Arabidopsis thaliana: one gene and its partner. The protein of the gene in region 1 interacts with the protein of each later gene in a pairwise test. Each region holds a gene or a part of one and is shown on either strand. Other genes may lie near its edges. The genes, in order: AT3G11280 and AT1G44830.

What was found.
Region 2: the proteins of AT3G11280 (region 1) and AT1G44830 interact in a two-hybrid assay, tested with the Arabidopsis thaliana proteins (one large-scale study listed by BioGRID).

The regions. Positions count from the first base shown.
Region 1 is NC_003074.8:3,525,879-3,542,430, reverse strand, and holds AT3G11280 (Duplicated homeodomain-like superfamily protein), read left to right. Parts: upstream 1-7,436; 5' UTR 7,437-7,809; exon of another isoform or gene 7,810-8,035; 5' UTR 8,036-8,037; coding exon 8,038-8,441; intron 8,442-8,566; coding exon 8,567-8,954; 3' UTR 8,955-9,220; downstream 9,221-16,552. Other genes in the region: AT3G11300 (uncharacterized protein), read left to right, coding at 1,958-2,041, 2,130-2,246, 2,383-2,560, 2,756-2,842, 2,924-3,084; AT3G11290 (Myb/SANT-like DNA-binding domain protein), read left to right, coding at 5,136-5,420, 5,496-5,999, 6,072-6,665; MEE34 (Mov34/MPN/PAD-1 family protein), read right to left, coding at 11,114-11,185, 11,288-11,373, 11,466-11,523, 11,650-11,772, 11,912-11,970, 12,127-12,202, 12,335-12,431, 12,611-12,692 and 2 more; WOX5 (WUSCHEL related homeobox 5), read right to left, coding at 14,168-14,412, 14,522-14,825.
Region 2 is NC_003070.9:16,926,298-16,941,961, reverse strand, and holds AT1G44830 (Integrase-type DNA-binding superfamily protein), read right to left. Parts: upstream 8,264-15,664; 5' UTR 8,171-8,263; coding exon 7,535-8,170; 3' UTR 7,394-7,534; downstream 1-7,393. Other genes in the region: AT1G44835 (YbaK/aminoacyl-tRNA synthetase-associated domain-containing protein), read right to left, coding at 1-60, 157-310, 398-468, 569-651, 755-804, 1,094-1,170, 1,300-1,360, 1,456-1,509 and 2 more; AT1G44820 (Peptidase M20/M25/M40 family protein), read right to left, coding at 13,608-13,706, 13,795-14,034, 14,558-14,695, 14,772-15,611.

The DNA of each region.
Region 1 (16,552 bases):
TTTATTGGTTTTATGGAAAACTCTTTTCTATATTTTTTCTTAACTATCTTTTTAGGAAAATCCTTTATTTTATATTTACATATAGCTAGGCAATATTGAATTTGTTGGAGAGTACCCTAAAATTCATTTCAATAGTGTAAGATATTAAACTGTTAGCTTATGACTTGATCACTAGAGATAGAGTGGCTACTTCTTGTTCTAGAAATCTTCTTTTCGTGCTTCTCTCTCTGCTATATTTTATTGAGACGAAGATTCGTCGCGACAAGTTCAATATAATGTAAGTGTTACAGATTTTTGGAGTTTCTTGAACAACAAGTAACCTTTGTCTACAATTTTACGCTCACGGGCAAACTAGGAACGCTTCTATAGCAAGCTCATATCTCGTGCCTTAGAGAGACGGTTCGGAGTACTATTGTAATTATTCCGAAACGTGGTGTACCTTACCCTTACCCGTTTGGTCGGCCTCTTACCTAGAAAAGAAAATCATCGTTTTCGGTGAGATTTTGAAGTTCTAGTTAGCTAGTTACTGGATCATTTAACTCATCTCTTTATTAAAGCATTCATAAGAAGCCCATATATTGTCTCACAAGAAGCCCAATGTACTGCCAACTGGCTCATATGTTTAGGGTTTTCTTGCAAGTATATGATTCATAATGTATGAGAAGTAAGGGTTTCGGAGCTTTGATTCTCTCTTCACTCTGATTTGAAACAAAGCACATAATAGTTAAGCGCGCAAATTCATTTGTATACCTAATTAAAGAAAAATCAATGTAACACGTAAACGTAGTAAAAAAACTCATAAAACTCATAATAGTTAACCTAATGAGATAATATGCCATATAAAAACAACAATTTATTTTCAAATTTCAAACGTAAATTTTTTTCGCTATATAAAAATTTCATAGCATTGAAACTAATTAATAACGTGTACGTAATATACAAAAATCAGTTGTTTTTTTTTCACTTTTTGCACATATAATAGTTTATGATCTAATTTAAAATAGTCAAATTTTGCGAGCAAATAAACTTAATTGTATACCAAATAATGATAAAAATTCATGTAATTAACCTAACTAAAATATGTATTGTGACTAATTAACCTTCAAAAATCACAATATGATATGATAGGAAGATAAATCATCTTTTTCTTGCAACTAATTGAAAGTGGTCTTACACAATAGAAAAGTTTCCCATACATGCTCTATCCAATATAAAATGGGACCTAGATCTCTAGTAACCTGAGAAAACAAATCACAATAATATGAGAAAACAAATAATAATCACAATCGCTCTTTACTAGAGGTCTGTTTACACTTACTTAGACACTATTTCGATTTCTCAATTAGACAAATAGCTATTCAGAAAATCGTTTTTATTCATGTTCAGGTGATAACAGAACACTCGATCTAGTGTAAATAACTCAACTCTAGATTGCATAAATGTTCATCACATGGATGAGCACTCGATCTAGTTGATTTTTTTTTCAGAATTTGCCTTTCAAAAATCACTTGTTATAACTTATGTGGTCTCCTGGGATGTTTTTGTATGCTTACGTTTGTGAAAATTGTCCCAAGTACATTTGCTATGAAATGATTTTTTTTTTTTTCTAATCAAAACAAATTGCAATGGTTTATGGTGGTTGTTTCATGAGTTTTAAGCCTAGTTCTAGATTTAGCCATGACATTAAATTTTCGAGACAAGTTTGGATGTATATTTTGTATAGATTTGGTTATAATTGTTTAAAGCTGTGTTTAGACACCCCTTGGAATCATAGATTGACAAAACAATTTCGTGATCCAGTAAGAGATTAATTTTAACCAATCATAGATTCAGACTTTTTTTATATTTATTTCCCCCGCTTTTTAATGGTGTTACCAATTAGAGCCTTTAATAAGAACTTACGTTTTTTTGTTGTTGTCGTCTTTACTTATCTATACATATATAGGAAATATTTATGATGACGAAATCCATGTGGGGACATGAACACCACAAAGTGTTTGTGGACTTATGCAAGGAGCAAAAGATGTTGGGAAACAAACCTGTATTGCAGCATATATTGAAACCTTTTCAACAAAAGACGGGCACGATGCTCACGAAAATCCAGCTTAAGAATCATTGGGATAAAATAGTCAGGCAGTGGAAGATATGGTGTAGACTTGTTCAATGCAGTCATATCACATATGAAATGGGATCCTCAGACAAAGACGTTTGGTGCCAGTATTCGAGACTGGGCCAACTATTTACAGGTACAAAGAATGGTTTATGTTTAGTGTTGATTTTGGTGGTTTTTTAAAAGGCTATACGTAATAAAACTTGATTGGATTTGTCACAGGTGAATCCATAGGCTAAGCAGTATCGGTTGAATCCTCCATCGTTTCTCAGGACCTAGAGTTTATCTTTGAAGGTACTTCCGGCAGCAAAAAGAAGCGAAGATGCAATCATCCTGATGAAGATACGCAAAGCGCGTCTAAAGCATATTGGTCATCGTCTTCACATGAGCTGCTTGTTGATTTGTTGTTCCAAGAGTCTTTAAAAGGAAACAGACCTATCAAAACCAGAGGTTACTCACATTATCCAAAGGAAACTTGGAATATGATGGTTGAGTCGTTAAACCAGAAGACAGGACTAGGCTACACACGAGAGCAGCATATGTAATAGTTAATATGTTGGAGAGTACCCTAAAATTGTTTTCACTAGTGTATATAAGATATTAAATTATGAATATCTATTTTTAATTTAGTAGCTTATTCTTGAGATAGAATGGCTAGTTGTTCTAGAATTCTTCTTCTTGTGGCTTCTCTCTCTGCTATATTTGACGAACATTCGTCGCTACAAGTTCAATGTAAGTATTACAGATTTTTGGAGTTTTCTTGAACAACAAGTCAACTTTCTCTACCATTTCACGCATATGGTCAAACGGAAGGCGAAACGCTTTTCTATGGCAGGCTCATATATCGTGGCTTAGAGCAACGGTTTGGGGGTACTATTGTCATTCTTCCGAAACGTTGTGTACCTTACCCGTTTCCTCCGCCTCATACCGAGAAAATCATAGTTTTCGGGGAGATTTTTGAAGCTTTAGTTTAGCTAGTTCTCTCTTTATTAAATTTAAAAGCCCAAATATTGTCTCATAAGAAGCCCAATGAAATGCCAAACTAGTTCACATGTTTAGGGTTTCCTTGTAAGTATGACTCATATAAATTCATTATAGTTAACCTAGAGAGAAATACTTTCTCTGGTTTTGGTTCATGAATCATGATATTATTAGATATCCTTTCCAAATTAATAACCAATATACAGTAACAAATACAAATAAAAATGGGAAAAATGTCGTTTTATACGTGAACTTTCAAAAAGTGGTCATTCAATACGTAAACTTTGCGATCGGCCAAATAAAACATGATAAAAACGTTGACCGCCATTTAACACAAATCAAAATGTTGACCAGGCCAAAATCCCCGAGACGTTAACTGGCATTAATGGATCCGATAACCGCCGTTAGCAGACGTTAATTATTTCTGTTAATAGCGAAAACGACGTCGTTTTATTTAAAATGAAACAACAAAATCCCCAATTCAATTTCGAAATCCCTAATTTTATCGTCATCTTCTTCCCCATGTAGCTATGCTGCTACATCTCACACTAGTGCTTCTTCTTCTCTTAACACTAGTATTCACAAAAAAGGAACCAACTGTTTTTATCTTCTTCACTTGCCAGGCTTCAAAAAACGGTGGTGCCACACGTTGTATACATACTGCACGACTTCCCATTTCTTTACTAACAAAGACGTCTTGTGGAAGTAGCTCATAATATTAATAAACATTGCTTGACGATGATGATGAAAGAATGGTGGAGAAACGTGGACTTACGACACAAAGGGATAGACATTAATGGGTTTAAAATTTATTGGGCGTTTTAGTTAGGTCCATTAAGAACCGCCGAACGTCGTGACATTGTTAGCTAGCTCGCCAAGAGCAAAATCCAGTATGTGAAACTTTCGGAGAAGAAGGGATGTCGAGAGGATCTCGATTCGTTAGGGTTCCTGGACTCTTACTTTGAAGCTTTGAAAGAAGATGGAAGAAGATGACGATAGAATTAGGGATTTCGAAATCGAATTGGGGATTTTGTTGTTTCGTTTTATGTAAAACGACGTCGTTTTCGGTATTAACAGAAATAATTAACGTCTGCTAACGGCGGTTATCGGATCCGTTAATGCCAGTTAACGTCTCGGGGATTTTGGCCTGGTCAACATTTTGATTTGTGTTAAATGGCGGTCAACGTTTTTATCATGTTTTATTTGGCCGACCTCAAAGTTCACGTATTGAATGGCCACTTTTTGAAAGTTCACGTATAAAACGACATTTTTCCCAAATAAAAATCCATGCTTAAACTTACCAAAACAAATCATGGTAATAAAGCTGTAATAAGACTCAAAATTTTGACTATCTTCTTAATTAACACTTAAAATCACACAATATGATTAAATAGAATTGAAGACAAATTCTCTTTTATTGCCACAAATTGAAACCTGTCAACACAATAAATAAAAAAGTTGCCAATAGAGATAACCGGATATAACCGGTATAAAATGAGACGCCTAGTGATCTGAGAAAACAAGGCACCGTCTCGAGCGGCACAAACGCCAAAATCCGATAACAGCGAGAAAAATCGCGATCCGGCTTTTTCAGCCACACTCTTAACAACACAACTCAGAATCGCTCTCGCCGCTGTTTTTCTGGTAAACATTTCACACCTTTGATTTCTCCATTTCATCTAGACAAATTGCGAATCTCAAAATCGTTTTTTTCTTCGTTCTTTCAATGTTAGGGCCAAATAGTACTCGATCTAGTGTACAGAGCTTAACTCTAAATTGCGTTAATTTTCATCACATGAATGATCTAATAGATTTTCAGAATTTGCCTTGCAAAAATCTTTGCTTTATTTTATTTTTTTCTGGGTCTCTCGTCTTTTGTTGTCTCCTGGTTATGAATTTGTTAGAATCTATGCATTTGGAATTGATAAGTCCTGTAATGCTTCCAATCAAAAGCAATTGTGGGATGACAAATGTGTGTTTAGTCCATACATACTTCTCAATTATGTTGTTGTTGTTTACTTATCTATTCGTATAGTGAAGAGTTATGATGCCGAAAGCTGCGTGGGAACCAGAATACCACAGAGTATTTGTGGACTTATGCGTCGAGCAAAAGATGTTAGGGAATCAACCTGGAACGCAGCATATATTGAAACCTTTTCTACAAAGAACTGGCGCTAGGTTCACCAGAAACCAGCTTAAGAATCACTGGGATACAATGATCAAGCAGTGGAAGATTTGGTGTAGACTTGTTCAATGCAGTGATATGCAATGGGATCCTCAGACTAACACTTTTGGTGCTAATGATCAAGACTGGGCCAACTATTTACATGTACAATTTATCTTCTGTGTTGATTTTGGTTGTTTCTTGAGTCTATAATAAAACTCATGATTGGATTTGTGACAGGTGAATCCTGAGGCTGGGCAGTATCGGTTGAATCCTCCATCGTTCCTCGAGAAACTTGAGCTTATCTTTGAAGATAGTAACTTAGATGATGAAGGTACTTCAGGTAGCAAAAGGAAGCGAATAGCCAAGCATCGTGATGAAGATAATGATAATACTGGAGATGAAGAAGACACGCAAAGCGCTTCTAATTTCTCGAGTCCTCAGTCGAAAGGATACTGGTCACCGTCTTCACATGAGCTGTTTGTTGATTTGTTGTTCCAAGAGGCTTTAAAAGGAAACAGACCTGACTCACATTATCCAAAGGAAACTTGGAAAATGATCCTTGAGACTATCAATCAGAATACCGGTAAAAGCTTCACCAGACCGCAACTCAAGAATCATTGGGATTGCACCAGGAAATCGTGGAAGATCTGGTGTCAAGTGATTGGTGCTCCTGTCATGAAATGGGATGCAACTTCTCGAACATTTGGTGCTACTGATGAAGACTGGAAAAACTACTTGAAGGTATAAACGCTACTCGACTTTTTATATTAGTTGATTAAGTTTGCAGCTTAACATTGGTTCTTTGATTAACAGGAGAATCATAGAGCAGCACCATTCAGAAGGAAACAACTTCCTCACGCGGATAAACTAGCAACCATCTTCAAAGGACTTATAGAACCAGGAAAAGCCTATTTCCGTTCTTATCGCAGGAGAGTGCTTGATCATCATTCCGAATCACCACAGCTACATGACCCAACTCCATTATCAACACTTTACACAAACGAGCCAGTCTCAGGTAGTGAAGGTGGAGCTGATGAAGATGACAATGATGACGATGATGAGCAGCCTACTCCGCAGCACCGGAGATTTAACAGTGTTGGTTTTGCAGAGTCTCGGTTACAAGATGTTGAAATTGTAACTCCGGGATGCCACAGGTTAAAAACTGAGCTGATGAAGGAGAGTCCAGTGAGTGCATCGGTTAGGCAGTACGAGTATACCATTGGGGAATGCATTGAGTGTTTGGACTCCATGGAAGAGGTTGAGCAAGGTAGTGATCTTTACTTGTTTGCGTTGGATTTGTTTGTGAAGAAAGAGTACAGAGAGATTTTCTTGCTGTTGAAGAACTCAAGTTTGAGAATGTCTTGGCTGCTTAGACTTCGATCTGGTGGCCTTACCATTGCTGCCTAAGATCGTCATATTCTCCCAAACTTCTTCTGCTTATGTCTTATTATGCTAAACACTCTTGATTTATCTTTTGAACAGTGTGAGATGTTATATTATTAGGTTCCTTGAAAGATTTTATGACAGTCGAAATATTATAAGAGTTACTGGTTAACTTTTGTCGCAAGAAATTACTCTTGTCTCTATTGCAGATGAGAAATAAACTTCAAAGCATTCGTATCCTATCGTCTATGACTCTATGTAGCCTTCTCTTCTTCAAAATTAACTTAAGTTAAAAAACCTTGTACAGTTTGATTAGTTGATACAACCGATATACTTTTATTTGATTTTCTCTGTTTGCAGAAAGTAATTTAAAACTTATGTGAGCATCACAAGTAAAATGGAGAGATAGTGGGATTTAATGAGCTTTAGCTATTGAATCTGTCACACTTTCTAAAAATATTTTCCACCGACGCATAGATACTAAAACCAATCATCACTTAATTCCAGGTAAGAACTTAATCCTAAACAACCTCCTTAAGGAGACAAAATTAAGATATAAAAAGAGATAAATCGCGCCAGGTAGGGGTCGAACCTACGACCTTCTGCTTAGGAAACAGACGCTCTATCCACTGAGCTACAGGCGCTTTTGATTGTAATTATCAAAACATTATATTTATAACAAAACCATACAGTATGTCTCCGTGTGGACCAGAAAAAAGGCGATAGAACAAATTTGTCGTATTCCAAAGAATTAAATAATAGAATCAAATAGATCAATCAACTTTTTTTTTCTTTCTGAGAAAAATGAACCGCAAGAATCCGAGTGGAGTGGTGCCATTCGCTGTTCTCCAATCCAAATACGCCAAATCTTCCCAAAAATAAAGAAACCTTTCCTTTTCTTTCTCTTCACTCTGTTCCCATATCTACAGTGACTCTTCTCTCTCTGTATATTACTCTTCCTTCACTATCTCTCTCTCTTTACTGGGTCTTCTTCAGCTTCTGAGTCTTCTCCTCTCTCTCTATCTCTCAAGTGGGCTTTGCTTTGCTGTTTTTGTCTTCCTTCGACGACTCACTTTTGCAGATTCTCATAAATTCTTCAAAGCTTTGAGTCTTTTTTCAGATTCGAGGGTCGGTTTTATATATGCTTCAAATCTCTTACCCAAATCAGGTTCTTGATTCCCTCAGTATACGATTCTTCATTTTTCCTTCCCTTTTGTTTTTCTTCTTCTTTGATTCCTACTATATTATCATTAAACCTTATATATAAAAGCTTCCATTATTTCCTTATATCACAAATCTATCTTTTAAGCTTCCTCCACACATAGAGCAAGAAAATGGACTTTTTTGAGCTGTGTTTGTAGTTGAAACTTATTCTTCCCTTTTTTTGTTTTTAGGTATGGAGACTCTGCATCCATTCTCTCACCTACCTATCTCTGACCACCGGTTCGTTGTTCAAGAGATGGTGAGCTTACACAGCTCGAGTAGCGGTAGCTGGACTAAAGAAGAGAACAAGATGTTCGAACGAGCTCTTGCGATATACGCTGAAGACTCGCCTGATCGCTGGTTTAAAGTTGCTTCCATGATCCCTGGAAAGACTGTTTTTGATGTTATGAAGCAATATAGTAAGCTTGAAGAAGACGTTTTCGATATTGAAGCAGGACGTGTTCCCATTCCTGGTTATCCTGCAGCTTCTTCTCCCTTGGGGTTTGACACGGACATGTGTCGTAAACGGCCTAGTGGAGCTAGAGGATCTGATCAAGATCGAAAGAAAGGAGTCCCTTGGACAGAGGAAGAACACAGGTTAAGACACTCTTTCATCTCTACAGAATTCTTTCCATATAAGTCACTCTTCCTAGGTTCCTTGCAACGCAAGTCATCCCCTTTTTTCTTAGGGTTTTCAATGCTCTGTTTCTTGTTCCTTGCAGGAGATTCTTGTTAGGCCTTCTCAAGTACGGTAAAGGAGATTGGAGAAACATATCGAGAAACTTCGTGGTGTCAAAGACGCCAACGCAAGTGGCGAGCCACGCCCAAAAGTATTACCAGAGACAGCTCTCCGGAGCCAAGGACAAACGCAGGCCAAGTATCCATGACATCACAACCGGCAATCTTCTCAATGCCAATCTCAACCGTTCCTTTTCCGATCATAGAGATATTCTCCCTGATTTAGGGTTTATCGATAAGGATGATACGGAGGAGGGAGTAATATTTATGGGTCAGAATCTCTCTTCAGAAAATCTGTTTTCTCCATCACCAACTTCATTCGAAGCTGCCATTAACTTCGCCGGAGAAAATGTCTTCAGTGCCGGAGCTTAAGGCAACATAGAATCCCCAAACTCAGCGTTCTTAAGAATCTGAGTTTTGAAACTGTAATTAGAGAAATATAAGCAAAACCAAGTTTATTATATATGTATTGTGTGGTTTAAAAGTAAGAACTTGTTTTTACTCTGTATTTTTGTGTTTCTGTCTACTAAATACCTGTTATGTTAAAAAAAATCTGTGTTTTCTTTTCGATTAAATTATAGACTTATAGTTGTGAAAAAGAGTACTTGTGCTTTATGACAAGTTGATAACCCTAACAATTTACCACAATATATCTATTTTATGGTGTTAAATGCAAATTATAAAGATATACTGTAATAAAGACTTAAAGAGATTAAAAAAAAAAAAAAGACTCAAAGAGATCAAACACCACACAAAAATGAGAAATTTGTGAAACATGTTTTGGGTTAGATTTATTTAAGAAGATGGCTATAGTATAGTTTTAAATATTGAGTAAAGTTTTGGTGGAAGGTATGAAGAATTGATTTGAGTATAAAATAGAGGCTGAGTCTGCTTTCCACTTCTGACCAAAGAACCTCATTCTTCTCATCTATTACACCAACCTCCTGACTCATATATATATTAACGTATTTAGAATTACGTATAATGGTGTCATTTGTATAAAAAACATATATGAATGAAATGTTTATTTTATTTTTTAATCATTTGGTGCCCCAATCTAAACACTGCTCACATTTGAATTATGCAACTTGAAATAACTTTGATAAATTTATATTGAAACAACTTTGAAATATTATTTATCACAGTTCATATGCAAAGTTGGACCAAAGGCTACACTTAATCAAGCAATAGTTTTATCATAGTTCATATTCAAAGAAATCGGATTTAATAGATTTCCATATCTTATTCTATATGTATTAGATGAATCTTGATCATCAATTGTGACATATGCTACTGCAATTTGCGAGTCCTATTTCGGATAAAGAAAACAAAGTAGTTTTTCCTTTCTTGCAACTTTATGGCTTTATTTCTTTTGCCACCCTTTTGTTATTTTGTCACTTTCGATCTGGTCGCTTCGATGGGATCTACATGCCTTACACTGATGTACCAATATCAAAAAACATTCAATGTTCTTACGTCATACGTGCATTACTATATACTATACAGTATACACTATTTTATGACTAAGATTTGCGATGCTGATAACTTTGAGAACAACAGGATGCAAAATTTAAAGTGAAATTACGTACAATTGTTACATCTTTTCCATAGCAAAGTTATAAGGACATATTCTAGAAAATTGTTGAATAACAATTATAAAATGATAATTGTGATAATTCTTTGTAAAACTGATGTATTTAAATATGTCAAATAATTCATCATCAAAAGTTGCATGTATTATTACGATACCGACATATACCGTGAGTACAAACATCATAAAGAAGATTGAACAATAAAATAAGAAGGAGAAACGTCGAGAAGCTTTGCGACTTAAGGCTAAATCCTTCCTAATCATGAACATATTTTATGTAAACGACAAAACTTAATTTATAATCTTTGTTCATTTTGTTATCAAGAAGAAAGAAAATGTTCTTCGAAAGTAGGCTTAAAAGCATAATGCGTAACAAAGCACGTTCATGATTTCATAATTTCAAAATTTCCGCTTATCATCATATCCTTTTCACGAAGCTTACGCCACTAGTGTGACCTTTATTTGCCTTCAACACCTCTTTATTTTTTTTGGCGGCCCTTCAATATATCTTTTATTTTTCTAGTTTTCAATTTTCATGACAAAATCTTCTTCCTTTATTCCTCTATCAATGTGAACACACGTTCACACACTTTGTTTTGATAACATTTTTATAACCCCGGACTAGATCTCTACACATCCGATGTATACGAATCTAATTTAGTGATTTTCTAAATTTTAAACTATGGTAAGTGTTATCTTCTATGACTTGATTGCCTTGAAGATCAGAATTAGGGAAACTAGAAATAAAAATCGATGAAAAAAGAATCTTTGGAGACAGAAACGACATACTAATAACAACCATTGTAGAAACAACAGTAATAGAAGATCATCGGAACGAGACCAAACCCGTTTTGTTCCCCTACAGACCCTCTTCACATGCAGCAAATGACAGAGTAACATCCGATTAAATATCTTCCCAAAGCTCGAAATTTGGCTGCATTTAACTCTCAGTGATTAAGGGTATGTCAACAGGCTTTGAGTCCTCTGCTTTTTCATGTTCCTTATTCAACAACTGAAACATAGCATCCACAGATTAACAAAACAAATTTTGCATAGAGCAAATTCAAATCAATCACCTACTAGAGAGAAATAGAGAGATGATGGTCTATCTTACCTTGTTGTTGATCAAACTGTGGAGGGCGATTACACTTCGGATAAGCGAAGAAAGGTAGATTACGAGCATCATGTCATTTGTTTTTACTGTACAAAATGAATAAAGTTAGGAAAAAAAAAAGAGTTCAAATGAGAGAAACCCTGTGCGAACATAAAACTTCAAGGAAGAAAAAGCAAACCTGCAAAGGCTTTAACCAACTCGTTGACGTTCAAGTTAGGAAGCAAGTTGAATACGTCCTACAGATTTGCAAAAGAGTATTCAATTTAGCTGAATAATCCTTACTAGCAGTCACGGATACTGAGAAAAAAACAAACACGAAAACCAGTTTGATTCTACTAGTCAACTACAATTAAAAGTGTTACCTGAAGATGGTATAAGATTTCATGGTTTAATGGGAGTTTTCCTTCGATTACAAGGTCAAGGTAAGTCCGGATCTCCCGAAGTCGTGCATCCAATCCCTTCAGAGCAGTAAGTTTCGCAGTGACCTGAAATACAGTTCACAAATAATTTCAGTTTCCTCAATATATGTTCCTCACATTTTGTTTTGAGAGCAACAATCATGATTTGAATAAACATTAAGAAGCTTGATGATGAAATGTTTAAGTTATGTGTGAAGAAAATAACCTCAGTTGCCAAGGTACTGATGGTTGTGTCTTTTACATCCCTGAGCAAATGTTCCACACCTGTTCAAGACCAACCAACTGGCGTAAGCGAAGCAAGAAGGACTCCATTGAGTTTCCTCGGAAGCATTTACAAAAAAAAAAATTCCCTCATCATTCTTATGCTCTGAAATAAGGAAATCAAACTATCAAAGGATTTGTTTCCCCATGTAGACATACCAATTTCCTCAACTTCATGAGCTGCAATTTCTGTAGGCACGTGTACAAAAACCTGTTGGCTTTTCTGGGTAGCATTCTGCAGAGAGAGAAGTTCGGATCAAGGCAATTAGATATATGGATATAACTAATGCAGAAAGTAAATCAAGTATGTCAGATGCAACTTAACAGTCGAGCAAGTAAAATGGTTAGAAAATTGGCTGGTATTTACCTCTTTCACCTCCTCAACCGCATAGTATGCTTTTGTGGGGATTCCAAGTTCTTTAGGTTGGACATCAATAATGACCAACACTGGATTTGGAACGTAGCTGCAACACCAGAAACTAAGATTAAAACCGAAGTAATACAGAAATAAGGTCTAGCAAGAGAGGAGAGATAGATTGTGAATGCTTTAAAACGTTTGTACATATATAACTTAAACAGACCACCAAACCATATATTAGATTAGACCATCATATCTCATATTTTAGACTGATTTTGGTCTTACCCATTGAATAAAGCGTGAACATCCAAATCATTCTCTCGAAGTTTAGGACCTGTGCTGTACCAACCCACAATATGCTCCTTAGCTGAAAGCAAATATGAAAATCAGTCAAAAAAGAGGCTTTCCACATATATACTCTTAAGCATTATATTTCCCGAGCAATACCATTAATTCTCTTGAACATGTGAAACATCGACTCGTGGTAGTTGTGATCAAGAAACCATATGCTTGTGTCTTTGTCATCCTCCTCAAAAGGCACTGTAAAACCACAAACAAAAAGTCAAACAAGTGATGTGCAAGTAACAACAACGCACTTATGAACATGCTCACAGTGTAATGTACTGTGCAAAATCAAATGAAATCTGTTTCATTCTCTAAGAAATTAACTCAACCACCATATTATACTCATCACTCCAATATGGAATTAGGCCACTAGGACCAAGTTTGACTGAATCCAAGTATCACACAACGATTTTAAAAGTAAGACAATTTTGCAACCCAAAAGCTAAAAAAAACTAAACTTAAGTAAATTTTCAGACAAGAACACTAAACATATTGAATTATGAGATTAGCAAGAGCTTAACAAACTTTCAGAGATCTGTGAGATCGAAGAGAACAAAGAGAAAGGAAAAAGTAAAATCAAGGCACCTGCGTAGCTGTTGGTGACGTCAACAGTACCACGAGAGCTACTTCCGAGCAAAACGCCGACGACGCGCTTGCTCGTGTCCTTGGCTACACGATTGTAATGGTCGACGATACTAAGCAAGACAAGTGGGTGAACGATCACTTTCTCGATTGTCCTTGCCGATATTTGTTGCGTCTTTATAACATCCATTGTTGGGTTAATCAAATTCGCTTGAGTAATTCTAAATTTCTTTCTCCGGGAATGATCAAAACCTCAACTTTTGATTCCGTTTTATCTCCGACGGAACTTGAGTTTGCTTCTTCTCCAGGAAAACCCCTTTAATTAATCTTCTCTAGGCACTATGGGTTTAACCAAAGTTTGGGCCTTCTCTGTATTATAAAGCCCAATTATATGGGCCTAAAAGACAATGGGTCTGGGTAAAATAATATTAAGGATATTAATCTGTTCGTTTAAAAGAGTTGGTTTTATTCTGATAAGATTGTGCAAGTTTTTTGGTCTAATGGTTGTTGATCAAGACTTAAGTATTTCGAGATGATGTAAATTTTGTAAATTGATAGAGATAAGTTTTAAGTTTGTTTTTTTAACATCTTTTAAGTTTTAAGTTTATCTGATATTTCTAGTATTTCTGTGATGCAAATAGAACTATTCGTTAATGATGTCTTTCTTAAATTATTTTTAAAAAATATAGAAAAATACATTAACAAATCACAACCTTAGTTATATGATGATATACATATACGCATTCCATAACATAGATTCTTATATCAAACAAAATGAGACAACTTTTTGATAAACCATGCATTGGAAAATATCTCATAAACCATGCATCGGATAATATGTCATAATTCAAAATACAACAACATTTTAAAGGCTAAAGCATCTGTTTTTTTTCTTTTGTTATTGTGGTCAATGACTTAAAGAAAGCTTAATCGAAGATCTAATGGCGGTGGATGTTCCATTTCAGCTCCACATGATGAGTATGGAGAAAACGACGTCGTGGTGGTCTCTCGAATATATTCACGGTACTGGTTATTGCCTCTAGCTCTCATTTTGTCCACCTTGGAGTTGGAGTCTTCAAATGAATTCACCGGAAAGAGTTGTAATGTCTCTATCACCTTCTCTTCCTCTTGACAATCTTCTTCGCTTATTTCAAAAACATCTATAATAACACACTATTATCCATTAAATATATAGAAATATCATATAAAACAATAATGATATATAATTATATATATATATATATATATATATATATATAAAGAGACTACCTCTAGTTGATGGTTGATGATGATGATGATCAAAATCAATGGAGATTTTACGACGTTTCTGCCTCTCCCTAGCCTTATGATTCTGAAACCAATAGAAAACATTCTTGCTCTCTATCTTGCCGTAGAAACTGAGCTCCGTAGAGATCTTCTGAATCTGATCAGTTGTTGGAGTTCTAAGACCGGCTCGAAACAGATCAGTCAATATCTTCAACTGCTCCACCGTTGGATTCCATCTCCCGCACTTCGTCCCCGTTCCTCCGTTATTGTTGCCACGTAAGCTTCGACCTTTCACGGAGAAAGACATGTTCAGATGTAAAGTCCTCAACTGTTTTACGTTTTAGGGCCTGTGTATATATCCATATATATAGTAAGATTGTTCATAATAATTTATTAAGTTTTCATCTTTTCGAAAATAAAAAGAGAAATGAATTGATGAAATGTCGGGAGGAGAGGTTTTCGAGTTATGTGTCGTTTTATGATGAGTTGTTTATTACGAAATGCATGCTTTGTTTTTTTTGGGGATTTGGGAGAGACTGATCTTTGCAGATTTGATCGTTTTCTTTATCCTAACCTATCTAGGCTTCTGTTCCATCTATATTTACATATGTTTTTGTGTGTATATATTAGTATATAATTGGATCTCGCATTCATGCCATGGCATGCATAAGTTGTATATCGGAACCAGCGATTGAAACATTGAATTTGTTCTCCTTTAATTTGTGGTGACTCGCACACACTTAAATTGCGTTCTACGTAATTTCTTACTATTCATATAACATGATAAGAATAATCAGAAAGCCTTGGTGGTAATGTACTATCTAGTGTCAATATTTTAACGTTCGATATTGTAACTTCAATGCTTCAACTATTCCAAATTATGACACTAGAAATTTTACATTCACTTTCTTTTTTTTGTATTTGTTTTGAAGTTAGAAGTTCTTTACAAATTGTAGATCTAATCTGTAATCAATAATAAGTTGAAATAGCTAGCAAGTCCTAAACAAAGATTGTATGCAATTACATTATTGAGACGGATGGATGGCCGATATTAGTTTGATATGAATGAAGATGATAAGATTAATTATAAACATCATGACATTGTGTGAACAGATTGTAGTTTTGTCTCTCTTGCACAGAAGATGTGACACTTGAGGAACGTTGGTCGGCAAGTGTAGACAGGAAATTTGAAATTTTATTCTCTTTTATAAGAAAATATAATATTACAAAATCAAATATCTGAATTCTGAATCATAAAAAACTACAAAAAGAAAAGGCATTTAATAGATAGAACCAGAAGGTTCGCCACACACATGTATAATATAAGTCCTACACCAAAATATTTGTAAAAAGCCATTTATTAAGTCACCAAGAACTCCTTCTAGAATGAAGAATGGTTGAAAGATGACTGCAAGATGTAAAAATAATTTTAACCATCAATAAAAGTATAAACTCATAGTGTTTTACTAGCCTCTATATGCTATCACGTCAATTAGATCTGATTTTTGAAATCTGAAAATGAGACAGCAGCAATAGTAACATAAATCATGCATTATACTGTAAATGCTTTGGTCAAAAATTTATTTCTTAGTTAAAATCTAACTGCATTCTAGTATATAACCTGCGACCGAAAAAATATTTCACTTTTAAGCGTACAACTCATACATGCCTCAGTTTTAACAATATACAATCCAGCTCTTATAATTTTGCATAGTCTAGTTGTTTGTACAAGAAACTTATTGATGTCTATATGAACAGTACGTATGACACCAGCAGAAATAGAAAGGAAAAACTTATAATATTCATGTAGTGTGCGTTAAAATGTCTTAATAGTGAGGATTTAGATGAGACATGCACGGGATGCTAAGCAAGACGAAAATGGTCCAAATAATAAAATGACAATGTGAATAAAACCAAACATTGTTTTTATAAACAAAGTACTCTTCACTAGACAACATAACAGTACTTACAAATATCTTTGTCTCTCTCGCATATAAACTGCATCTTGTTTTTAAAATTGATCAATTCGGTGTC
Region 2 (15,664 bases), on another chromosome or scaffold:
CTGATGGAGCTGAATTTTCAGCGACGCTCTTCACCTTACAAGCTGGCTTGCTCGTTTTGGCTGCACCGTTGAAGAAAACCGAGTTATATAAACCAATCCTTCACGGTTTAACAAGACTTGGAGCGCATGGTTAAGAAACTGATAAATCAGGCATACCTGAAGCCACAGGCTTGACCTCTGCTGACACACTTTTTGGAAGAGGAATTTGTGTAGAAGATGTTTGATTAGGAATCTCGGGAACAATAACTGAATTAGACGGAACACAAACAGCTAGATCTGGAGCCTGGTCTTTACCAACTACCGGGTTAGCCTGAAACAGCAAAAGGTTCAAAAGGTTAACCCTGAGGAAAGGAACTGTGGAACATGAGTTCTCAAGTTAAAGGTTTAGAGTATTTGCCTCAAGGTCAACGTATACGGGATCTCTCCCAATCGACTTCAGAAACTTGTCCAGACCCAATGTGTTCAGAGCTGGAAATGATAGGAACCAACCAAATTAGATATAAGCTAAAATCTGATGTTATGAACTATTTTGAACCATAAAAGAAAAGTCTGTAATGAAAGAACTTACAGACTGAGACATCGTTAGACAATGGGTGGAAGATGCAACGCGTTTGGTTCTTGAATTTTTGGTCTAACAAGAGAGACACGTCTCTTTAACATGGAAAGTTTTAATAAAGAATGTCAGTCAATGGAAATAATTAGGAACTTGGAAGGGAAAACACCATATGAACCAATACCGTAAGGCAAACAATACCTTGCTGATTCATTTACAACTGCAAACGGGGTAACACATCCGAGGGATACCTTTAACGAAAAAAGAGAGTAGCACGAGTGTCAAAAATTGTAAACATGAATGACAATAAGTTCAATATATTCGTGTGGATTTGTTGTAAACTGCGATAAGCAAAACAAACATATCACCATGCATAAATAGATCATTTAAAGCAATTTGGTTTGGAGAAACTTTTCTTATCAATTGTCAAAAAAACTATCGCTACCATGGTTCCCATGTTACAGCACAATCATTTAATAAAACTCTTTCCAGATATATATAACAAAACACAGTAGCAGAGGAAAAGACTATGAAAAATACCTGCAAAAGCTCACCAAGTGCTTCTTCTGGAGCCATTCTAATCCCTCCTTTTCCAAGACCAAGTCTCTGAGATAAAACTGTTTAAATTAGAAGTCACAGGGAACACACATTAACATCCAAAAAAAAAAACATTCAAACTTCACAAAGCCCAGAGACTTCTTCTATGCCAATATCCACAAACGAAAAAAGGAGAAAACATATGTTACCTTTCATGTCAACTTTCGTATCCACCATCGCTGAAACAATATAATACCGATGTTTCTTGTCCTGCAAAAACAAAATAGAGGCATATGCACCATTAACAATCAACTAATACTCTAACTTGATAATGCCTTTAATGGTGTACCGCTTTGAAAGACTACCTTCAAGAAGAGATTCTTACTCAGTGCACCCTTACTACTGCTAACATACTTGGCCTGAAGATTTAAATACACAAAACAAAGCCTTATAAATCCATCTTTAAACATCATACACTTAAGTTTTAAAAATCTAAAACATTTTAAGGTATATTCACCTGTTCTTCGACGGTTAGTACAGGCGGATGTTCATACTTGGAATAATCAATCTCAAGTTCCTGAAAGATAGATACAAATCCTTAATCATCAATTCACATTGCCACATTTTTTTAACATTGACACTAACAAAACGTGTAACACCAAAATTCTTGACCTAAGGGTTAGAATCTAAAAGTAGACATTGAAAAACTTCTGAGTTCAAGACGACTATACACATAACTTGGAATCCATAGATACACATCCAAATCCATTAATACACATAACTTCTTCAAATAGAATCAAGCATAAAACGAAGTAACATTTTCCGTTCTCTGCTAATGATTTATCTAATCTTATCTGACAAATTCCAACAAAAGCAATGCGAAATGAAAATGATGTAATTGAGTTTAAAGGTGAAAATGGAAACCTGAAGTCGATCAAGCAACTGATCTTTGGTGAAACCCATTGAATCGAAAAAATCAAAAATCAGAGAATTTGGACTGAGAAAGGAGCAAGGAACTGCAGATTTTGTTGAGAAGACGAAAGTTTAGGTTTTGCAGATTTTGCAGTACTGGATTGAAAAACATTAAACCTTCTTAGTAAACTAGAGGATTACACATTGGGCTTTTCAATCCACGACCATACTTAACTTGCAAATGCCTAAAAGGCCCAACATATAACCACAGGTCATAAGAAAATACAAATTTTTAATTTAAAATTAAACTGTTTTAAGTTGTCATAAATGGTGCACCACAAATAAAAAAAAGTCATCATAAATTTGGGCTACGAAAAATATCTTTACAAGAAGGATTGATTGTAGATATTTGAAACTGATTGTGTAGAGTTTAGTCTCGGTGGCGTATTCGCCTGATGATTGACCAGCTTTCTCCAACCTATTAGACGAGTTTGAATGTTCCGAGCTTTAATTTCTTATTTTAAAAATTTTTTTTTTTATAAATATTAGGAGGTTCTGGACCGAATCCCGTAATCTCTCAGACCCGAAACCACAGCATGTAATATTAGTTTCGTCCCAAACGTCACTCGAATCGGCGACCTCTAAGGTTCGTCTAGGGTCTTTACCAATTGAGCTAACGACGCTTGGTTCGATTTCTTATTTTTACCGTTTATGTAATTCTAAAGCATATTGTTTAACCTGTTTTTCTCGTTTATTGTTGTCTGATGTTATTTTTGTAAACTCTTCTCCTCTAAATTGGGCAGCCGATCATAGAGTTATATTTTAATATATGTGTGGTTGATAAAAAATATATATATATTAATATTTTCTAATAACATATAAATATAAAAGTAGTTAGAAATGAATATAAAATAGTTAAAAAAATATTGATTGATTTTTGTGTAAATTATAAAAATCATTAGTTATGTTTAATTAATTATATTTTTGTTGTTGTGTGTTTAATTTACGTGTTTCAACATTTGGGGGACTGACTTTGTGGATTTGGATATGGTTCATTCAAATAGATTTTGCTAGGATTTTTGTTTAATTAGTTGTTTTAATTTCTTGAATAATTAATCTACGGCTTTAAAGAGTATGGTTACTGCTTAACACACTATTCTTAACTTTTTTCTCTGATGTGCTGAAAGAACACTTTTCAGCCCCAATACAACAAAACAATCACTGGTATGAGAAAATAAAATAAGAAATCCATATTTTTTCATCAAATAAGTAATCAATTTTGACTATGTATTAAGACCATCTCCAATGTATAGCTCTATATCTTGTTCTAAAATAGAGTAACTCAATTTTAGAGATGAGTTTTTCTCCAATGTATATCTCTATTTTCTACTCTAAAAAAGAATATTCTTAGAAATATTCTATTTCTATTTTATATACTAATACTTTTTAATTATATAATTTAAAATTTGACCCCATATATTATAGATTTGCAAAATTCGTATAAAATATGAAATTATTTAAATTAAACACTTATTATTTATTAAAAATCATTACATCATATAAAAATAATAAAACATTACAAATTTTATTTTAATTAACACCATTAGAATATTTATTATAAATAACACGGTTAACACCATTAGAATATTTGTTTTAGTTTTTTATGTTGTTTATTTTAAATTTAGTACTTGTTTGCTTCTTGTTAAGTTTATAAAACTATTAAAATTAGTATTTGTTTGTTTGTTAAGTTTATAAAACTATGTGTTGTAATTGTTGTTTGTAAAATGATTATATGCATTAAATAAAAAAAGTTTAAATTTGAGGGACTAAAGTATAAATAAAAAAATTGAACTCAAAAATAGAGTTGAGGATAGAGTTGTTCTATATATAGAGTCAATCTGTAGAAATCTCTATTTTTGAGTCAATTATAGAGTAGGGTTGGAGAAGAATTTTGCATTTTGACTCTAAAATAGAGTAGGGTTGGAGATGCTATAAGCCATTTTAGAGGTAAAGTGTCCGCAAAACGAAACCCTAATTATGAGAAACAAACAGGAAGAGAGGAAAATTAAGATTGCTTTCTCCTGCTAAGTCGATAATGAGATAGACTAGTAGCATTTAGCTTATGGTCATTTTGAAAAGTTCGTGTATGTATTTACTAGGCTAAACCGCTAAAGTAATTAGTATAGGAAAAAAGAATTTATAGAGTTCATTAGTCCGAGTATGTTAAACAATTAACAACCCCCGGTTCGCATATTGGAACCATAAAATACTTACAATAACTAAAATAGGCGTATAATGGATTGTCTAGCCATCGTGAAATCGCAATCTTAGTATAATTGACAAATGACAAATCAATTAACATTACACGATTTAATATTCGTTATAATGAGACAACATAAACATATAATTGAGATCATGATTTCACGACCAATGTTGGATCTATTTCAAATACTGCCTAGTGATTTAGCAACACCAAGTTTCTTTGTCTTTTGTATTTAGCTACATAACACCAAAAAGTGTTTGGTTTTCCTTTTCCGAATCAAAATTATAAATATTGTTCTATGAATGTTCTCTAAAACTTTTAAACATAAATCATTGAGAAAAATAATGCCATGTTATGTGTTTTGGGAGATCATTAAGATATCCCCTGAAAAGAAAAAACTCGTCTCGATCCGGAGAATATGTCATGTGAAAGGTGAAAGAAAAATGAATGTAAGGCACTTTTCATGGGACCAACTATAACCACAAGCCCATGTCAGAAACTCAGACCCAAATTTCTAATTACAGTATTTTTAGTAAGTTTTTTTCAGTGATATTTATCTGCTCGAAGACAATCAAATGACGGCAAAGAAAACATATAGGCATGGTCAATTTACAACTTGTTTGTATATATACAAATTGCAATGATTTTTTTTTTATGGCATTAGTTGAGTATACTAGTATCTATCAATTTCTTTTGTTAATGGGTCAAAGATTTTGCAAAAAACAAAAATAAAAATAAAATTAGAAAGATAATTAACCAAGTCTCATTAGCTCAATTAGTAAAGATGCTAGACAAAACTTAAGGTCACCGGTTCGAATGACGATAGGGACAAAACTAATATTATATATTTTGTTTTTGGGTCTAGAGAATTACAGGTTTTCCCCAAAACCTCCCTAAAAAAAGGAAAAATAAAGATACTCGAACACATTATTCAGCAATCAACATTGTTCATTATCATTTTGATCCTACTCATTTCACTGTTTTTGAACGTTCAATAATCAAACACAGAAAACTGTCATCTTTCATTTTAATATCTTATTTAACGTGAGACAAAAAAAAAAATTGAATTGGTAGAGTGACTTTGTCATCGTTTTTTTGTCAACATAATCACGTTTATAATTAAACAAAATACCTTAAAAACGTTTTATTCTGGCAATACAAACGTTCATATGGAGATCTCGAAGGTTTGGTTTGACTGACAGTTACTCTTTACCACTTGATTTTGCATGACTCACATGTGTATTGAAAACAACAAATTCAGCAGAATAATAGACAATCCTTTGATTATTTTGTATCAAACATGTTTAGTTGTAAGATTTTCCCATAAATGGCCCTACAAGTGGATTACAAAAATAAATGTCTTAGGCTCCGATTATTAACCATTTTTGAGGAAAAAAATGAGTACGAAAGTCGTGTTCATCTTTGTTCCTCAGTTTTTTTTTTATCATTTGCAAGGTATATTTGTTTCATTTTCAGACATATGGGTCCTACATTTTTTCTTATCATTCCTAAAAAAAAAGAATGGTAGAACAAAATTGTTCCACTCCAAAATTGTAGAGGAACCAAGAGAAACAAAAAAAATAAAATTCGTTTTTATTTATTAAATAAATTTAAAATAGCTTTTATGATAATATTTATAATTATATATATAAAATTTTCCATATATTTAGTATATATTGATATATAAATTGTTTTTTATCAAACTTTCAATTTAATGAATGTTATGAATTTATTTTAAATTAGTATAAATAAATGTTTTAAAGTGAATTTTTTACTATAAAATAAATAAATGTTTTGAAGAGAAATTTATAATATAATTTATTTTAAATTTATACAAAACTTTAATTTTAAAAGAAATTAATAAACAAAATTCAATAAATAATTTTTTAGTAATTATTATGTTAAATATTAATTCACCTTTCTGGTTACCATTTACCATAATCATTTTGTTCAATTCCTATGTTCCTCTTGGTTCCTACTTATGACCATTTTTCTTTTTTTCTTGTTTCTTTTTGTTATTTTTCATTCATATTCCTATCGTTTCTTTTGTTTATCACCAATCGGAGTCTTAAAAGTAATTACCAATCACAAAAGTTTTACCAAAAGCATCATTCTTAGTCTTTATTTTCAAAGTTAATTTTCACCGCCTTTAACTATTCCGATATTGCTTATACCTTCTTTTACCTATAACAAACTTGTATGGTTTTGTATCACCAATGGTATTAATGTATATTTGAGGGGGGGGGGGGGGAACTTATCTAAAGAAAAACAAATCATACCTAAAAAAATAGAGATGGAGTTTCTGAGGAGCAAGGGTAAGAGAGTGAATCATGGGACCCCATCTCACAAAGAACACACACATAACAAGAAACCAAAACAACTCATGTGGCTTTCTGCTCAAATCTACTGTTAGATTTTTCTTCAGACCAATGTTGGAGTAAAATGGATGTCAATTTTTTTACGATATCTAAGCACAAACGTACACAGTTTTCCACGTACGTTAACTCTTTCTCTTTGGTTTTACCAATTCTAACCAGTCACCACACAAAACCATTCTGCATCTCTTGTCTCTTCTCTCTTTTTCCTTATCTTTCTTCTAAATAAATAATATTTATACACTTACTCTATTCAACAATAATTAAGTAGGATTAATCATCGCCTTCTATGACAAGCCTCATGAAACTTGCTTCTTACTCTTTGACTTTGCAAAACTTTTCACATGAAAAATCTGCTTTCTGTTTAACTCATTAGCTAATACTTTTATATCCTTAATAAAGAAAAATCATATATACAGTACTTATATCGCATAGTCATCTTACCACCACTTATTTTGTATCATGTACACATTTACATCAAACAGTGTTAGTGTTAAAGTCAGTAACGCCAAATTTTGCATTCATACTATAAAATCTGAAATGATTGTTTTCAACACTAACTCTTAACTTTTAGGTTTCAGAATTTAATCAACAACAATATGATTCTGTACTTTTTCGTTTTTACCTTTTAACTTGTTATCATTCGAAGTTCTTTGTTCAAAAGCTATAAATCTATTTCCATACTTAACCACTACTACTAGATTTAGTGAACTCTTAACATGAAAAATATCTAATTTCAAAAATAATTTAGATATTGGTACAAAGATCCCCAAATGTTCCATACATTGTGAGAATTGATAGAAAAGGGAAGAAAAAAATGTATAACACATTGTATAAGTTACATAACTCAAGTATATATATTGAAACAAAGAATAAGGTATAATGAAAGTAGAATCAGCAGAAGTTCCATAATCTGATATCTCCTTCCTCAAAGAAATCATCAGAAAGTGATGTTGTCAAATACGGCGCGGAGACTCCATTAATGAACATGAACTGATCATCACCATCAAAGCAGTTGTACCATGATGATGATTCAGACAAGGAGACTTGTTGGTCATACTGTGACATGGAGACAACATCATAGAGATCTTCAGATGGAGAGGAAAGCAATGGAGATGAAGTAGAGACTGATGATGAGGAAGGATCTGTGTTGGCAGCAGCAGCTGCAGCTGCTACTCTTTGTATAGACTTAGGGGACATGTCATTGTTGTTATCACCATTGTTGATAATATGGTAGAGAGAAGTTGAGATCTCTGGGAAGTTGAGATTATTAGCTGAGGATCCTTTAAGACATAGGAGTGCTGCGTCGTAGGCTCTAGCCGCGGCTTCAGCAGTTGAGTAAGAACCAAGCCAGATCCTTGTCTTTTGATTAGGAGCTCTGATCTCTGAAACCCATGAACCCCAACTTCTCATTCTCACTCCCTTGTACTTCTTCATCCTTATGGATGATGATGATGTTGATGAGGATGATGAAGATGATGATGATGGAGATGACATTCTCTTTGGTGTCTTTTGAAGTGTTTTCACCATTTTTGATACTAATTAAGGGAGGAAGTTGGAGGAGAAGAATGGTGTGTTTCTATTTATAGAGAACAAAAATGGAAAGAGAAACATAAAGAACTCAAAAGAAAAAAAAATACTATGAACATAGTCAAAGAAAGTAGCATGGGGCACACACAAAGAGATTAATACTTTTCTTTTAAATAATGTAAGAGACAGGTGTTTTTAATTTATTTATAAAAAAGATTTTCCTTAATCACAATCCCATATGCTACACCCAATCACAGATCACTAATAAGAGAATCCCTATTTTTTATTTTCAAAAATGCATATTTATTGATTTGACCTCCAAGGCTCCAAGCTAATTCTTTAGTTCCACAAAAGTACACTATTGTTTACAACTAAAAGTTACTACTTCTTGAGCCTCAGAATCTTGAATAAAAATGTAAATAACAAAAATCAGTACTCATATGAGAATATTAATATCAAGATACGACAGAAAGTTATAAAACATTATAAGAGGAAACATTGGATTCTATTTTTAGAGGCAACTTCTAGGAGCTAAGAGCATGTGATTTTTTAAGGTACAAACAAAAGACAAAGTTAATCATAAGAATAATTTAACTATCGAATTATTTTGATAAATGAGATGCAAAATGAAATCACATGCATGATTATAGATATATATATATATATATATATAATACAAAAATTACAAGTTTTTTTTTTTGGTTAAAAGGCCTAAACATAATTCAGAATCTTAAACGTTAAAGTAGCTGAAGTCATGTTTACCAAGGTAATGCACAAGAGCTGGTGCTCTTCTGTCTTAATGGGACTTTTAAAACCGCGTTAACTAGCTCTTTGTGTCTCCTTGTCACACGTAAAATTCTCTCTGTAAAAAGGCTTTTACTAAATTAATTAAATTCAGATTCTTTTGTCAAACTGCATTGTAATATTAAATAATATTGTACTACTAACTAAATAAACTAAAGTAAAATCGTCAAACCTCATAATAGTCTTGCACTGTTTATTAACTAAACTAATCTGCGGTTATATTTAGTCGGCACTAGAATTAAATTAAGACGCGTAAGAGTACTACTAAACTAATCTATTCGTGTTCACGTTCTAGCCAGACGACTCTATTTCTTTTTTCTCTTTTGGGGTACTATAATATAACAATAATGAAGGTTTTTTATTCATATCAAGAAACGAATCAACAGAATTGTTCGTTGGAAAATGCAGGCAACATTTTACAAAAGTTTATGATAAAACAAAACCAACAATGTTCTACCATTTTTATATTAATATTTGCACTCAATGACTGTAATTACAAACGTGGTATTTGAATAAATAATCAAATTAATTCCATCTAAAGAGAATGATTCAAATTTTGACTATTTTACTTTCTTTTAAGAAAAATAATAGTTATAACTAAATCTTACGTGACGAATTCTTTAACATTAGTATTCTATGTGCACATCTAATTTATCAAAATGAAGTTTTTATATGTTTTGGCTCTTATATCTACAACTTGTAGAACACATTTCCTCTACTACATTATTTTCGTTATGTAGACATCTAATTTATAAAACATATTTATGTTTTTGTCATATAATCATGTTATCTATGTTTTTGGATATATCTATATTATTTAGCGGGTTAAAATATTTGTATATCCAAGCTTATCAAATAAATTATACTTTTCAAAGTCATTTACGGAAAAAAAACATTTTACATTTTCTCTCAATATTTTACCAATATGACTTTGCTATTTTCTAAAAACAACTATAACATTCTCATTCACCGAAAGATATCTCCATTTCATACCATTTAACTAATTCACTATTTTACATTTATTTTTATTTACCAATAAATATTTTCTTTTCACCACAATGTCACCATATTCACCCAATCACATTCTTTGTTGATTGTTTTAGTGTCTAGAGCTCGACAGTCTGAAGCTATACGTGTAACTGTGTAAGAACAAGAAGAAGATGAGTTACATTGTGTCATAAAGCTTGAGTGATCGGATCGGGTAAAATCCGAGAAGCTAAAGCAATTAAGCTAGCTACCTAACGAAGAATAGTGAGCGAACCCTACCTGAGGAAATAGACAAATAGAATCATAAATGAAGATTCATGCATAATGCATGTACTTTTGCACTAAAAATATCCTATTCGTAGTTTGGACAATCTTACCTGGCACCGTACTCAATATATGACCTTCCGTACCTTTCTTATCAATCAATCAATATTTTTCTTACAAGAAATATTTAACAAAGTTTTGTGGTTACAAGAAATAAATTAGAAAGAAACATTTAATGGTAACGAGTTAAGCCAGAGTGGAAATAAATTCGTGTGGTGGAAACTTAAGAGGAACGTACGGAGAAGTTTCTCATTAGGATTGAAGAGTGTGTTGGATGGTGTAGAGGCAAATGCACATGTGTGGATTGTGACAGAACAGAATCAAATCCTTTGTTTTTGATTTCATTAGATTGAGAAATTTCCTAGAAGCAGAAAAGATTTATGACAATAGAGATTTCAAGATTTTAGTTGTGGTTGTTGAGTGAATTCAGTAGGAGACAATACTCCAAAATTTACATATTTTTTCTTTGATACTGTAAAATTGATTCAAGCCTGGTTCGTTTTTCCCACCTTGGCTCCAAATTGTAGGAGCTACATCAAAGTTCACTGCAGGAGATTAATATTGCCTAGTTAGATATAGAGTCAATCGTCTAAATCTATTTGAGTGCGTTTGTGAATCAACATATGGTCAAGAAGCCTATCTTAGAACAACATATGGACATCATTGACGTCTTCAAATGATGTCCGATCTTGGCAAAAGCTTTGTCCTAATGTTTAAATAGCCCATTTCCACATCTGTAATTTGTTGGGATATCTCGTCGTGCGTTCATCTTTGAATCCTTTTTTCAATGCATTGAAAACAATGATTTTAGTTCAAACACGCTTAATTTAGCTCTAAATATTTTTTAGGACGAGGTACAAAAAATATTGCTTTTGGGGTCCATGAGTTATAGAAATGATAGGTGTGCACTAGCTATCACTTGATGTTAGGGTCCTTAGGTTGAGAGTGGATATGAAGGCCTAGATAATGGTACTCGAGGCGCTATAAATGGTATCAAAGTTGAACCTAGATGAGTGTGGAGTCATGTGACCTCCCACCATCGAAAATGACGGCCCTGATACGCAACAAGGACATTGTGCTTGATTGGTAAGGGTGATGGTAATATATACCTTGATTTTTAGAAATATACAGTAAAACCTCTATAAATTAATAATGTTGGGATTGTAAAATTTTATTAATTTAGAGAGGTTTTAATTTATCGATAAATTAATAAATTTTATAGAGAGACTTTCCTAATTTAGTAACTTTTAAAACATTTCTATAAGATTCTTTTTTCTAGAAAATATCTTTGTAGAATCAATTACAAGTTAAAAATAATATCATGTATAGAAAACAACAGTAAAAGTTTTTGATACAGTAACATATTAGAATTAAATTTCAAATAAGAATAAATACAAATTTAAGCAAAACAATATTAGAAATATGTTTCAAAGAAATTTCTTACATATAATGTATATATATAATTGATATATTTATGCAATTATTAATTTATAATATTGATGGGACCATATATTTACATAAGACTTTAAAAAAAATTATTATCTTATTAATTTATCGATTTGTGTTACTTTTTACACTGGTCCCAACTCGGAACCGGAAGAATTTATTAATTTATAGAGATTATTAATTTATCGAGTATTAATTTATAGAGGTTATACTGTAGTTGTACATGAAAAGCGCTTAAGGAAATTGATTTGTTTACCTATGTCACTAAGTAGCCTCGACTCAACAATAATTAGAGTTTTAGGGTAATCTTTCTTTTTTGGATCCTTAGAGCACCTCCAATGGTATATCTTAGGTGTATCTTAGGCTAATATCTTAGAATTAAATTCTGAAAAATAATTCAAAACAGATTAAAAACTAAAATTCACTTCTTAGCTTAAAGTTTTTTATGAGTGATAAATACAATTATGTGTCATGTTCCAAAATTTTAATTTTAATAATTGTTAAGATGCAAGGTTAAGAACCTTAACCATTGAAGATGGTCTTACTATATATTTAAACTAAAATTTTCATATTTTTGAGCAAATTTATACACAAAAAAATGTTGGACCTTTGCTAATATTTTTTAAAAGCGGATCTAAATATTAAAAGACTGGGCTATAGTCTAAATATTTTTATTAAAATGGGCTTTGAAACATAAGATTTTTTAGGAAAAAATGTGACTAGGCCTCTAGACCGCTGCCTCTTTCTCTACCTATTTGGGCCAAGCCTGGTGTACTTATCGTTTTCGTAACACTTACCGACTAAACTCTAGAGTTTATCATGCTTGAATTATTGGTGATCTATTGGAAACTGATTTCCAGTACAATGAAACAGAGGATAAAACACATAAAAAGATCTCATGATAATTTATAGGATCGGTAAATAAGTTTTTTTTTTAATCTCCTAGGATAGCATGCCGACTATCGAACGAGAATGAGACTCACATACTAATAGAGAACATAGATCTATAATGGTAGTTCATATGACACATTAAGGTTTATTTGACTTTGAGACATTAAGTTTCAAACTAGATGATCAAGTACTATGTGATTTTAGAGATTCTCTTTTCACAAATGGTAGAAATACACTTTTTCCCCGTTTTCCCGAGAAAAACAGCACAAACTCTTCTAACATTTGGGCTTACAAGAAGAAACTAAAGTCCACGACGAGAGAAAGGTCCACAACAAAATTGCCGCCAAAGGAAGAATTTATCTCCAGCTCAAGATACCATCATGAACAGAATCACCAATAATTTTTAGTCCAACACAAGTAAATAGAAGATGAAGTAGATCTGAATAAACCACAACGCATGCCAGGAAAAATGAAGCTCAAGTTGTCTTAAAACCATCTTCAAAGCAAAATAGCTGAAAGAAAGTTGAAACTAAACCGGAACCATAAGTTGCACAACTGCGAAAACAAAGACCGGAAGGGTCGAGACTCGGGGAGAGAAGACCCACACGAATGGTTTGTTTATTTTCAGAGCCGTAAAGTCAATAACTAAATCAAGTGATATGAAATAATCTCTGATGCTATGCAAGTGATATGTTACAACAACTCCTGAAAATTAGAACATTGAGAGCTAAAAAGATCAACACTTTGTGAAATCATGCTCCAAGCACCAATGACATTTTCTCTTCAGAGTTAGAGAATTATGCAGGCAAATCAAATGTCTGATATATATACAAAGGATTATTACCAACCACTTAAGGGTGTTAAAGCAAGAGTAAGTGTTGATAAAAATAACTTACAGATGAAACAGCTACTACTTTTCTTGGTCATAGCAATGTGAGCCTTGACCATAAGCAGTGTGTCACAATTGTTTGCATATATACATGCTTCAAATCACTTGAGCAGATTCTCCCTCAAAGGAACTTAGAGCGCTGATAACCGATTCATATACTTCTATTCCTTTCATGAATACAGTATCCTTTAGGAACTGAGGCCACAATTAAGTGTTTATATCAGTACTGTGATTAAATATATAGACTCAAAGATGGCAATAGATAATATCATCATGTGAATACCTCGTTATGGTCATGCAATAAAATAGGCGTATTGGTCATTGGAGAGAACCCAAAAGTTGGAATTCCCAAAGTGCGAATAAAGCGTGAATCTGTAGTTGAAGCCAAAATTTCAGGCTTTGCGAGTTTTCCTCCCATTGCTTCAACAGCTTGCTTGAAGATAGACCACCAAGGATTAGAATCATTTACTGGAGTCATTATAGGTCGCCCTAAATGATCTCTTAACTTTCCTTTCTCTTGTATCTGTTGCAAGAAAAAAAAACATCTGGATGTGACTAAAACGAAAACTCTTGCAACAGGTGATCACTAGCAATGGTGTTATATCAAGGGATTTTCAGTCTATCAAACCATGCTTCTTCATTCATCCAACTATCTAAGGTCATATTTCACAAAACCAGGCTCGAACAGCTTCTCTATAACCCTAATAGACAGATTAATGGCAGTAGAATAACAAGAACTATAATGAACATTATAATCAAAACAGAAACGGAATCTAATGTGGAACTATTGAGACTTAATAAAAGTAGCTGAAAGGAATCTCAAACATACATTTTACTAATGACGAAAGCAAAAGTTAAGAACTTTGATACGATCTCTGATCTAAGTATATGGTCAATGCGCTCTTTCACTCTATTTAGCCATGCTTCTTCACAAAACAAAACTACAAAAACAGTTCTGTATAACGCTATAGACTATAGAGTATGGACTTTAGCTGATATTAACATTTCAGATAGCAATACACACAGAAACAACGACATCTACTTACCGAGTAGGTCATGTTCCTAATAGAAGGAGCCCATTCTTCAGCAATTCTTTTCTTCATAACATCAGGATCTGCCATTGGAGGCAACCTTAAATCATACCCAGCTTCTGCTTCTGAAGGCTGCATATTCATCACAAACCCCTGCAAAAGAAAAAACAAACACTCTTATTCTCTTGAACAACAACTCCACACCAAAACAAAAACTCATCAAACTCACAGTAGTAGTAGGAGTTCCAGCTTTAAGATAAACTGGATTCACAGAGATAACCTCCGAATACGCAGCTTTACCAGCTTTAACAAAATCAAACTGTGACTCTCTAAACCTAGAAATCAACTCAACACTCTTCATCAAATTCTCCATAGCTGAATTATCATAAAGCTTAGCGCCATGACCTGGAATCCCCTCAGCTTTAATAACAAAATGCCATGGAACTCGATCAGCGTAAAAAACCCTAAATTCATCGCCAGGATTAGCTTGTCCTTCATCCATAGCAAATCCCAAATTCAAATCCTTAAACTCCGATGACGCCGCGAATTTCATCATCCCGTCGAATCCACCGATCTCTTCTTCAGGAACGTAAGAGATATGAATCGTACGGAGAGGTGAGAAGCCTCTCGATTTCAAGTTTCTGATTGATTCTAGATATTGAACTCCGATACACTTGTCGTCTTGCGCTCCTCGAGCGTAGATGTGGCCGTCGATGGTTTTGTGAGCTGAGAACGGTGGATATGTCCATTTCTCTGATTCGGCGGGGACTGAATCGAGATGAGAGTTGAAGAGAATTGATGGGAGGTTAGGGTTTGAGCCTAGCCATGTGATGAGAAGAATTGGTTTGCCAGAGATGAATTCGATTGTTTTGGTAGTGAGACCGATTGATTGAGCTTGGTTAATGAGGAAGGAGATTGGTGCGGTGTAGTTAGGGTTTGGATGAGCTGTGTTGAATCTTAAGTATTGTTGGAATCGTGTGATTGGTGTGTCTTCTTCGGAGGAGGAGGATTGGAGTGAGAAGATTATGGAGAAGATGATAAGAGTCCAGAGAAGAGGAGATATCGCCATGGAAGGAAGTTGAAAGGTTTTTTTTTCTGTGACACCAAAGTTCAAATTTTTTT